Danio rerio: one gene and its partner. The protein of the gene in region 1 interacts with the protein of each later gene in a pairwise test. Links are inferred from orthologs where the notes say so. Each region holds a gene or a part of one and is shown in the gene's direction. Other genes may lie near its edges.

Evidence for each region. The genes of interacting proteins can lie anywhere in the genome.
Region 2: the proteins of exoc5 (region 1) and edrf1 interact in binary tests that used the Homo sapiens proteins (3 or more experiments, as listed by UniProt). The two-hybrid records come from large-scale screens. The link is inferred for Danio rerio from reciprocal best matches to the Homo sapiens genes EXOC5 and EDRF1.

Annotation. Positions count from the first base shown.
Region 1 is NC_133192.1:49,407,293-49,410,954, reverse strand, and holds part of exoc5 (exocyst complex component 5), read left to right. Parts: intron 1-611; coding exon 612-694; intron 695-832; coding exon 833-1,042; intron 1,043-1,127; coding exon 1,128-1,275; intron 1,276-1,355; coding exon 1,356-1,464; intron 1,465-3,220; coding exon 3,221-3,341; intron 3,342-3,432; coding exon 3,433-3,519; intron 3,520-3,601; coding exon 3,602-3,662. UniProt on the Homo sapiens protein: Component of the exocyst complex involved in the docking of exocytic vesicles with fusion sites on the plasma membrane.
Region 2 is NC_133192.1:9,908,375-9,912,036, forward strand, and holds part of edrf1 (erythroid differentiation-related factor 1), read left to right. Parts: intron 1-593; coding exon 594-719; intron 720-3,435; coding exon 3,436-3,560; intron 3,561-3,647; coding exon 3,648-3,662. UniProt on the Homo sapiens protein: Transcription factor involved in erythroid differentiation. Involved in transcriptional activation of the globin gene.

The DNA of each region.
Region 1 (3,662 bases):
ATCAAAGAGGCTCACTGACGCAAAAAACAAATGTCTAGAATGGCAAATATCTGGACCGGTCAGCTGTCAAAGAACAAGTGATGAGTTGACTGTTGAGTTCACTCGCTCTAAAGAAATGTCTGTGATTGACTAAAATGATCATTGATTCATGCTCTCTGTTGAGTGACACAGATGCAATCTTTAAAAGCAATGTCTTATCAGCTGGACCGTGCATATATGAATAATCCACTAATTGACGCAGCTTTCAGATGCTCTAGTTCAGTGGTCACCAAACTTGTTCCTGTAGGACCGGTGTCCTGCAGTTTTTCGCTCCAACCCTAATCAAACACACCTGAACAAGCTAATCAAGGTCCTACTAGGTATACTTGAAACACCCAGGCAGGTGAGTTGAGGCAAGTTGGAGCTAAACCCTACAGGGACACCGGCCCTCCAGGACTAAGATTGGTGACCCCTGCTCTAGTTAACGCTCACAGAGCAAAAACCAACTACTGCTGAGGGCTGGCTGCCTTTCTGACAGCTGAAATTCCATTATGAAGAAATAGATTACCCATGCTTGAACTGTTATTTATCTGTTATTTAAATAACCCTATTAACATATTTCATAACTTCAGGCTCATGTGAAAGAAAGACTAGATGAGACGCGCAACTCTGATGTGGAGCAATACCTCAAGAACCTCTATGACCTCTACACAAGGTATCAATGTATATTTCTTTTTAATTTCACAATTACTGCAATTGTTCAGTCTGCTATCATCAGCTTCCTCTGCCTAGAAAGCTTTAATGTGTCATTTATTTGCTTAACCCGTTTTGAACCGTTTTTTTTTTTTTTTAGGACGACAGCACTGGCTGCTAAACTCACAGACTATAACTTGGGCTCAGACAAGCACACATTTCTATCTAAGCTGATAAAGAATATCTTCTCCTGTTATCTGGAGAGCTATATAGACATGGAGCGGCAATATCTGCAGAACCGCAGCGGCATGATTCTTCAGCGCTATTATGATTCCAAGAACCACCAAAAACGACCTGTAGGCACTGGAAGGTGAGGAATTGTTGGTTTCTTTGGTTTCTTTTTTTCTTATATTTCTCTTACCTTTATTTTCCATCTTCTCTTCTCATGTCAACAGTATCCAGGAGCTAAAAGAGAGAATCAGACAACGCACGAACTTGCCTCTGGGACCCAGTATTGACACACATGGAGAGACTTTGCTCTCACAAGAAGTTGTGGTCAACCTTTTGCAAGAAACAAGGCATGCCTTTGAGAGATGCAACAAGGTATAGGAATTTTCATCACTGCTTATGATACCTGAATTTAGAAGTTGTGGGCCTTAAACATTGGACTGTCTTTGTTGCAGTTGTCAGACCCAGCAGATCTGCCAAAGAATGCCTTCTCCATTTTCCTGATTTTGGTGGAGTACCTGTGTGTGGACCATATAGACTACGCCCTTGAGATTGGGCTGTCAGGTACAGTATAATGTTTATTGCAGGGTTCACACAACCATGGATTTTCTGGATTATCATGGAATTTTAAAAGATCTATTGCAGGGATTTAAAATCAGGATTTTTTGTCTAAGTCATGAAATATGGGATTTTTGTGTCAAATTTTAGTTTACATTTATTAATAATTGTGGTTTTTTTTTTTTGTTATTTCAGACCTATTGTTATGGTTGATTATGGTTGTTAAAGCTATTTTTCAGCTCCATTTTATTAATTTTATGTTAATCAACATATATCCACTTAGATTAAATGCAGTGAGCAGACTGTACCTGTTTACTAAGCCAAACATTTCAGCATAATATACATTTTAACGAACATTTCAGGATAAGGATACAGGCGGGAATGCAGCAATCGCATTCAAGTGTGCGCTAAAAGCAGACCAAACAAGTGTACTGAGACCTGCTAGAAGAGGTGGTCTCGATACTCTTTAAAACAAACTCTGGAGTGGTTTGATTGTGATAAGATGTGGCTTGAAAGTGTAGTTTGTTTGAAGTGATGCATACAAACAATGACCAGGGAAACGGTCATAATCGCATGTACTTGAAATAGCAGTCAGTCCTGCTTCTTTTAAATTACAATGCAGTCATGTCTCCATACTTCCATACTAACAAGTATTGTGTTGTCTGACTTCCTTATTTTTTGTTTTCTTTCTGTAGAAAAAAAAATGTTTTTTTGCGCATATTACATCTGGTATTTTATTATTATTATTATTATTTATATATTTTTATTTTTTTGGGTCAAGACTTTTAGTGATTTTCATGGCATAACTCTGAAACTTAATTAAATACTGTATACAGTAGACAATACATTTGGCATCGTAATCCATTTGATCATTAATATCAACCTCAATTAAAATGTCTAAAATCCTAAAAACTAAAGTAATTCTATTCTCGCAAATATAATGAACAAAGCTAAAAACCAAGGGTTATTGTAAAAATGATGCTTTAATAAAAATTTCAATCAAAAATGTCAAATTATAACCATTGGAGTGAAATGGATACGCCAACCTAATTAACCTTTTATGCCACCAAGCTTGATTTTAAACTTGATGTATCCACAAGTTCAACCAAATAAGACTTGCACCAAATATGAATTCATTTCGTCGGGCAGTGTGCAATGCATTTTTAAAAAGAACTTTACTTCTTCTAAATGCAAACATATCCATGAGTGTCTTGCAAATGTATTCATTCATTCATTTTCTTTTCGGCTTAGTCTCTGTATTAATCTGGGGTCGCCACAGCAGAATGAACCACCAACTTATCCAGCATATGTTTTACACAGTGAATGCCTGTCCAGCTGCAACCCATTACTGGGAAACACTCACACACATAAACTATAGACAACCCAGCTTACCCAATTCATCTATACCACATGTCTTTGGACTTGTGGGGGAAACCGGAGCACCCGGAGGAGAACATGCAAACTCCACACAGAAATGCCAACTGACCCAGCTGAAGCTCGAACCAGCGACCTTCTTGCTGTGAGGCGACAGCACTACCTACTGTGCCACTACGTCACCCTCCAAATGTATCCACAACCTGTTTATTTTATACATATTTGCAAACTTCTTCAGCCTCATAATAATTTTCGCTAAAAGTACTTCAATAGTACTTCACCAGTTTACTTTACCTGACCTATTTTCTTTTTTCTTAACCAACAAATCAGAAGAACATATTTAAAGTGGACTTATTATTCTGTGTGATTTGTGTTCTGACTTGCACAGCCATCCCATCTGCAGATGCCAAAAATGCCAACCTCTACTTTCTGGATGTGGTTCAGCAGGCCAACACAATCTTTCACCTCTTCGATAAGCAGTTTAACGATCATCTTATGCCTCTTATTAGGTCAGTTTGTCCCTCTTTGTTTCACTAGCTTCTATCATTTTTTTCCCTGTGACTTTCTTTTTGACATTTGTCTGAACTTTGACTCCTATAGCTCCTCTCCTAAGTTGACGGAGTGCTTGCATAAGAAGAAAGAGGTGATCGAACAAATGGAAGTCAAGCTGGACACTGGGATTGATCGGTTGGTTCAGAGTAATCCTTGACTTCATTGGTGGCACTGAATGAAATTTTAGTGAATTTTACTCAAGTTTCTTTGCTTTCAGGACACTGAATTGCATGATTGGCCAAATGAAGTACATCCTGACCACTGAACAGAAGAAAACC
Region 2 (3,662 bases), about 39 Mb from region 1:
ATATTTTTGTATAATGACAAATAATATAACTGGATGTTGTTAACCCATGTAAAGCAGTTGTGTGAGATTTTAGATAGGTCATATAATAAATACTTAATTAAATTATTTATTTACAATATAATTAGCTGTTTTTGGCTTTAGTAAGAAAAAAAAAATATTATATATATATATATATATATATATATATATATATATATATATATATATATATATATATATATATATATACACACACACACACACACACACACACACACACACACACACACACACACATATATATATATATATATATATATATATATATATATATATATATATATATATATATATATATATATTAATCAGCATATTTAATTTCTGAATATTAGAATGTGACACTGAAAACTGGAATAATGATGCTGAAAATTAAGCTTTGACATTACAGGAAAAAAAACAATGTTAAAATCTATTCAAAATGTCAACTTATTTTAAATTGCAGTAATATTTCATAACATAACAGTATTTTTGTGTGTGTGTGTATATATATATATATATATATATATATATATATATAGTTTACAATAATTTATTATTATTATTTTACTTATCAGAACATCAAGAAGCTTCTGAAGATCCCGTACAGTAAATCTCATGTCAGCATGGCTGTTCATAGAGTTGGCAGCACTTTACTGTTGGACGAACTGGACATTCAGGAGCTCTTCATGAGGTCATCACAGGTAACTGGAAAAAGGGACTTATTTCTATAGCTGGACTAAGGGCCATATTAACAGCTTGCACCAGCACAAACAGATTTTTTTCAGGATTTACTAAATACGCACAGTGAGGAATTAGTGCTGAAAAGGCATGATGAGCAGTTGTTTTTGTGTCTGACCTTATTGAATGTGCATTTGTTGCTACAGTTACCCTTTCAGAAGCAATTGTATTTGAAGGAGTCACAATAAAATTTACTAACGTTTGCAATCTTCCGTTTATCTGTATTGAGCCATTACCTAATTACAGTACTTTAGCTATGATGACTTAATTCCAACCAAAGAGTAAAATATAGAGTAGGGGGGTGGGGTTTTTGCTTTCTACCAATCACTCACAGCAAAGTAATGGAGGGGCGGGGCTAAGCACATTTCATCGAAGCCACCAAACTGACACCGTCAGAGATTGACTGTTGTTTCAGAGTGGAAGCAAATGGCCAGATTTGGATTAAAGATTACCAAAACAAACAGGCTGTTTCTCATTATGCGTTCTTAAGCGATCTTCTGTCCTTGTGTCATCAACCACCAAAGTTCAGCTCCAAAACTCTAGACCACAAGAACAGAGGACGCTTGACAAAGCCCTGATGCATTCTTGATATTGAGGATGCACTGATGCAGACTTGAGCGCAGTACAAAACTCTGAAAGCTCCAGAAGTAATTATATATAAATAAGGCTATATAACGGAGGTGGGAAGTGCAGCATTTTATAACCGTTTATTGTTAAAGTTCAATGATATAACTTATTTATCTTAGGAGTTTTCCTACATGAGAAGGTGAAAGTAAATATTAATAAGAAAATATTTATAAAGGCATAAACGCATTAAGAGTGTTTATTTGCTGAAATTTATATTAAAATTGGTTATAATTGTATTGTGCAAAGAGTTTTTGTAAGGCTTTTGTGCATATATATATATATATATATATATATATATATATATATATATATATATATATATTTGTGTGTGTATGTGTATATATATATATATATATATATATATATATATATATATATATATATATATATATTTTTTTTTTTTTTTTTTTTTTTCACAAAAGGGATCGTTGTATGTAATGTTTAAATAATTTTCTGTTTAAACGCGCGAAGATCATGTGACCATCAGCAAGCACGCAGCATCTCATTCCTAAAAGGACGAGTTCTCTGTTCATTTGTTCGTTCTCCCGAGGTAACTTGGCCAGAAAGGCCTTCCCGATAATGCGGGGTCAATTTACTAGAACTTCTATGTTAAGCTGCTTTGACACAATCTACATTTTAAAAGCACTAAAGAAATAAAGATGAATTGAGTCCTTTCTCTGCGTTCTTGGAATTGAGAAACAGACAGTTTTTTTTCTTTCCAGATTTGCACAGATTAATGTTCACCTTAAGACTAACATGCACTAGCAAAATAAATATTTTACATTTTGATTTCATGCAGACTTTAAGCTCTCTTAAATATAAAACTGAGTTTTTAAGCCATGTCAGGTTTCTTAAATTTGACATATATTACCAAATTCCCAGCGTCAGTTTATAATGCTTTCTTTTTTTTGTAACTGCACATTTTTCCAAAAAAAAAAAAAAAAAAAAAAGGTATGGACAATATGGTGGTTGCTATATAGAAGTATTTCTTTTCCTCAGATAATAAGCATAGGGTCTTCTTATGTTCCAAAGCTCTGATTTGCATTGTGCTTTTTCTATTACATTGGTTGATATGTAAATAAGATGTTACGTCGTTGTTCTTTAATTTGCATGTTGCCAGTAAATCATCTCCAGAAATTTCCACACTGATCTGCTCTATTTTAGACTTTTTAGGCTTTCATGCTAATTTGCATTGTTCACTAAATCTGGCCCTAGATTTCATTCAGGCCCCTGCATCTCCATTTTACCTTTAAAGGACAATCCACCAATTCCTAAAGCACACTGCTGAGTTTTACACTTTTGTTTCGGAACGTGTCTCGTTTGCCTAGTTAGCGCGGTTCGAGTGGCATATGTGAACAGGGCAATCGCGCTCTGTTCCGCGCCAAAGTAATCGCTCCAAGATCGCTTGAGTGAGGTGGTCTCGGCTCGATTGAAACGAACCCTGGAGCGGTTCGATTGCAGTGAGAAAGCGATCCGATCCGAGCGCGGTTATATCACAGTGTTTTATGCATATGTAATAGGCTTACGGCTATATGAAGAGAGAGTTATGAGTAGGGCGGGAAGTTTCGCGAGTCTCCGGATGCCCGCAAACGAGTGATGATCTCCCGGTAATCTTGCGTCTCCCTCCCTCAAATAGGCATCGTCGCGCACCCTTCTCACCCCTCCCCACCGCGTCTCTCCTCAGACATGTCGCGCGCACGCACCTTGTCAATCACCACCAAACCACCACCTCTCCTGACAGCTAGGCGTGACGCTGCAAAATAAACCGTGACACTCTGACCAATGTAAGGAGAGTTTACTCGCACGTGACTTGTTTTAGCTCTTTTGGTCCGTTTAGAAACTTTGCAGTGTGAAAGCGAACCGCTCCAAGAGCAAATAGCAACAATGTAACAATTGTAATCTCTGTTTCGGAACAACTGAATCGATTCACAGGTGTGAAAGCACCCTTATAGTAGTATAACATTTATATATGCCTTTTAAAGTGTTAATAGTGTGCATAGTACCATCCTAAATATTATTTAAAATGAATATATTATTGCGTCTGCTTTCTAGACTAATGACTGGACGTGGCTGAAGGAGTTTTACCAGCGTCTTATAGACCAAAAGTGGCAGAGAAAGAAGAAAAGTAAAGAGCACTGGAACGAGAAGGCCATCCTCTCCAAATTCCTCTATTACAGGTCAGTAATAGAGACTTCACACCGATTCCATCCTACAAAAGCATTGATCACATTGACTTACAGCCACAATGCTCTTCTGTGTTGCAGTATAAACAGTGATGG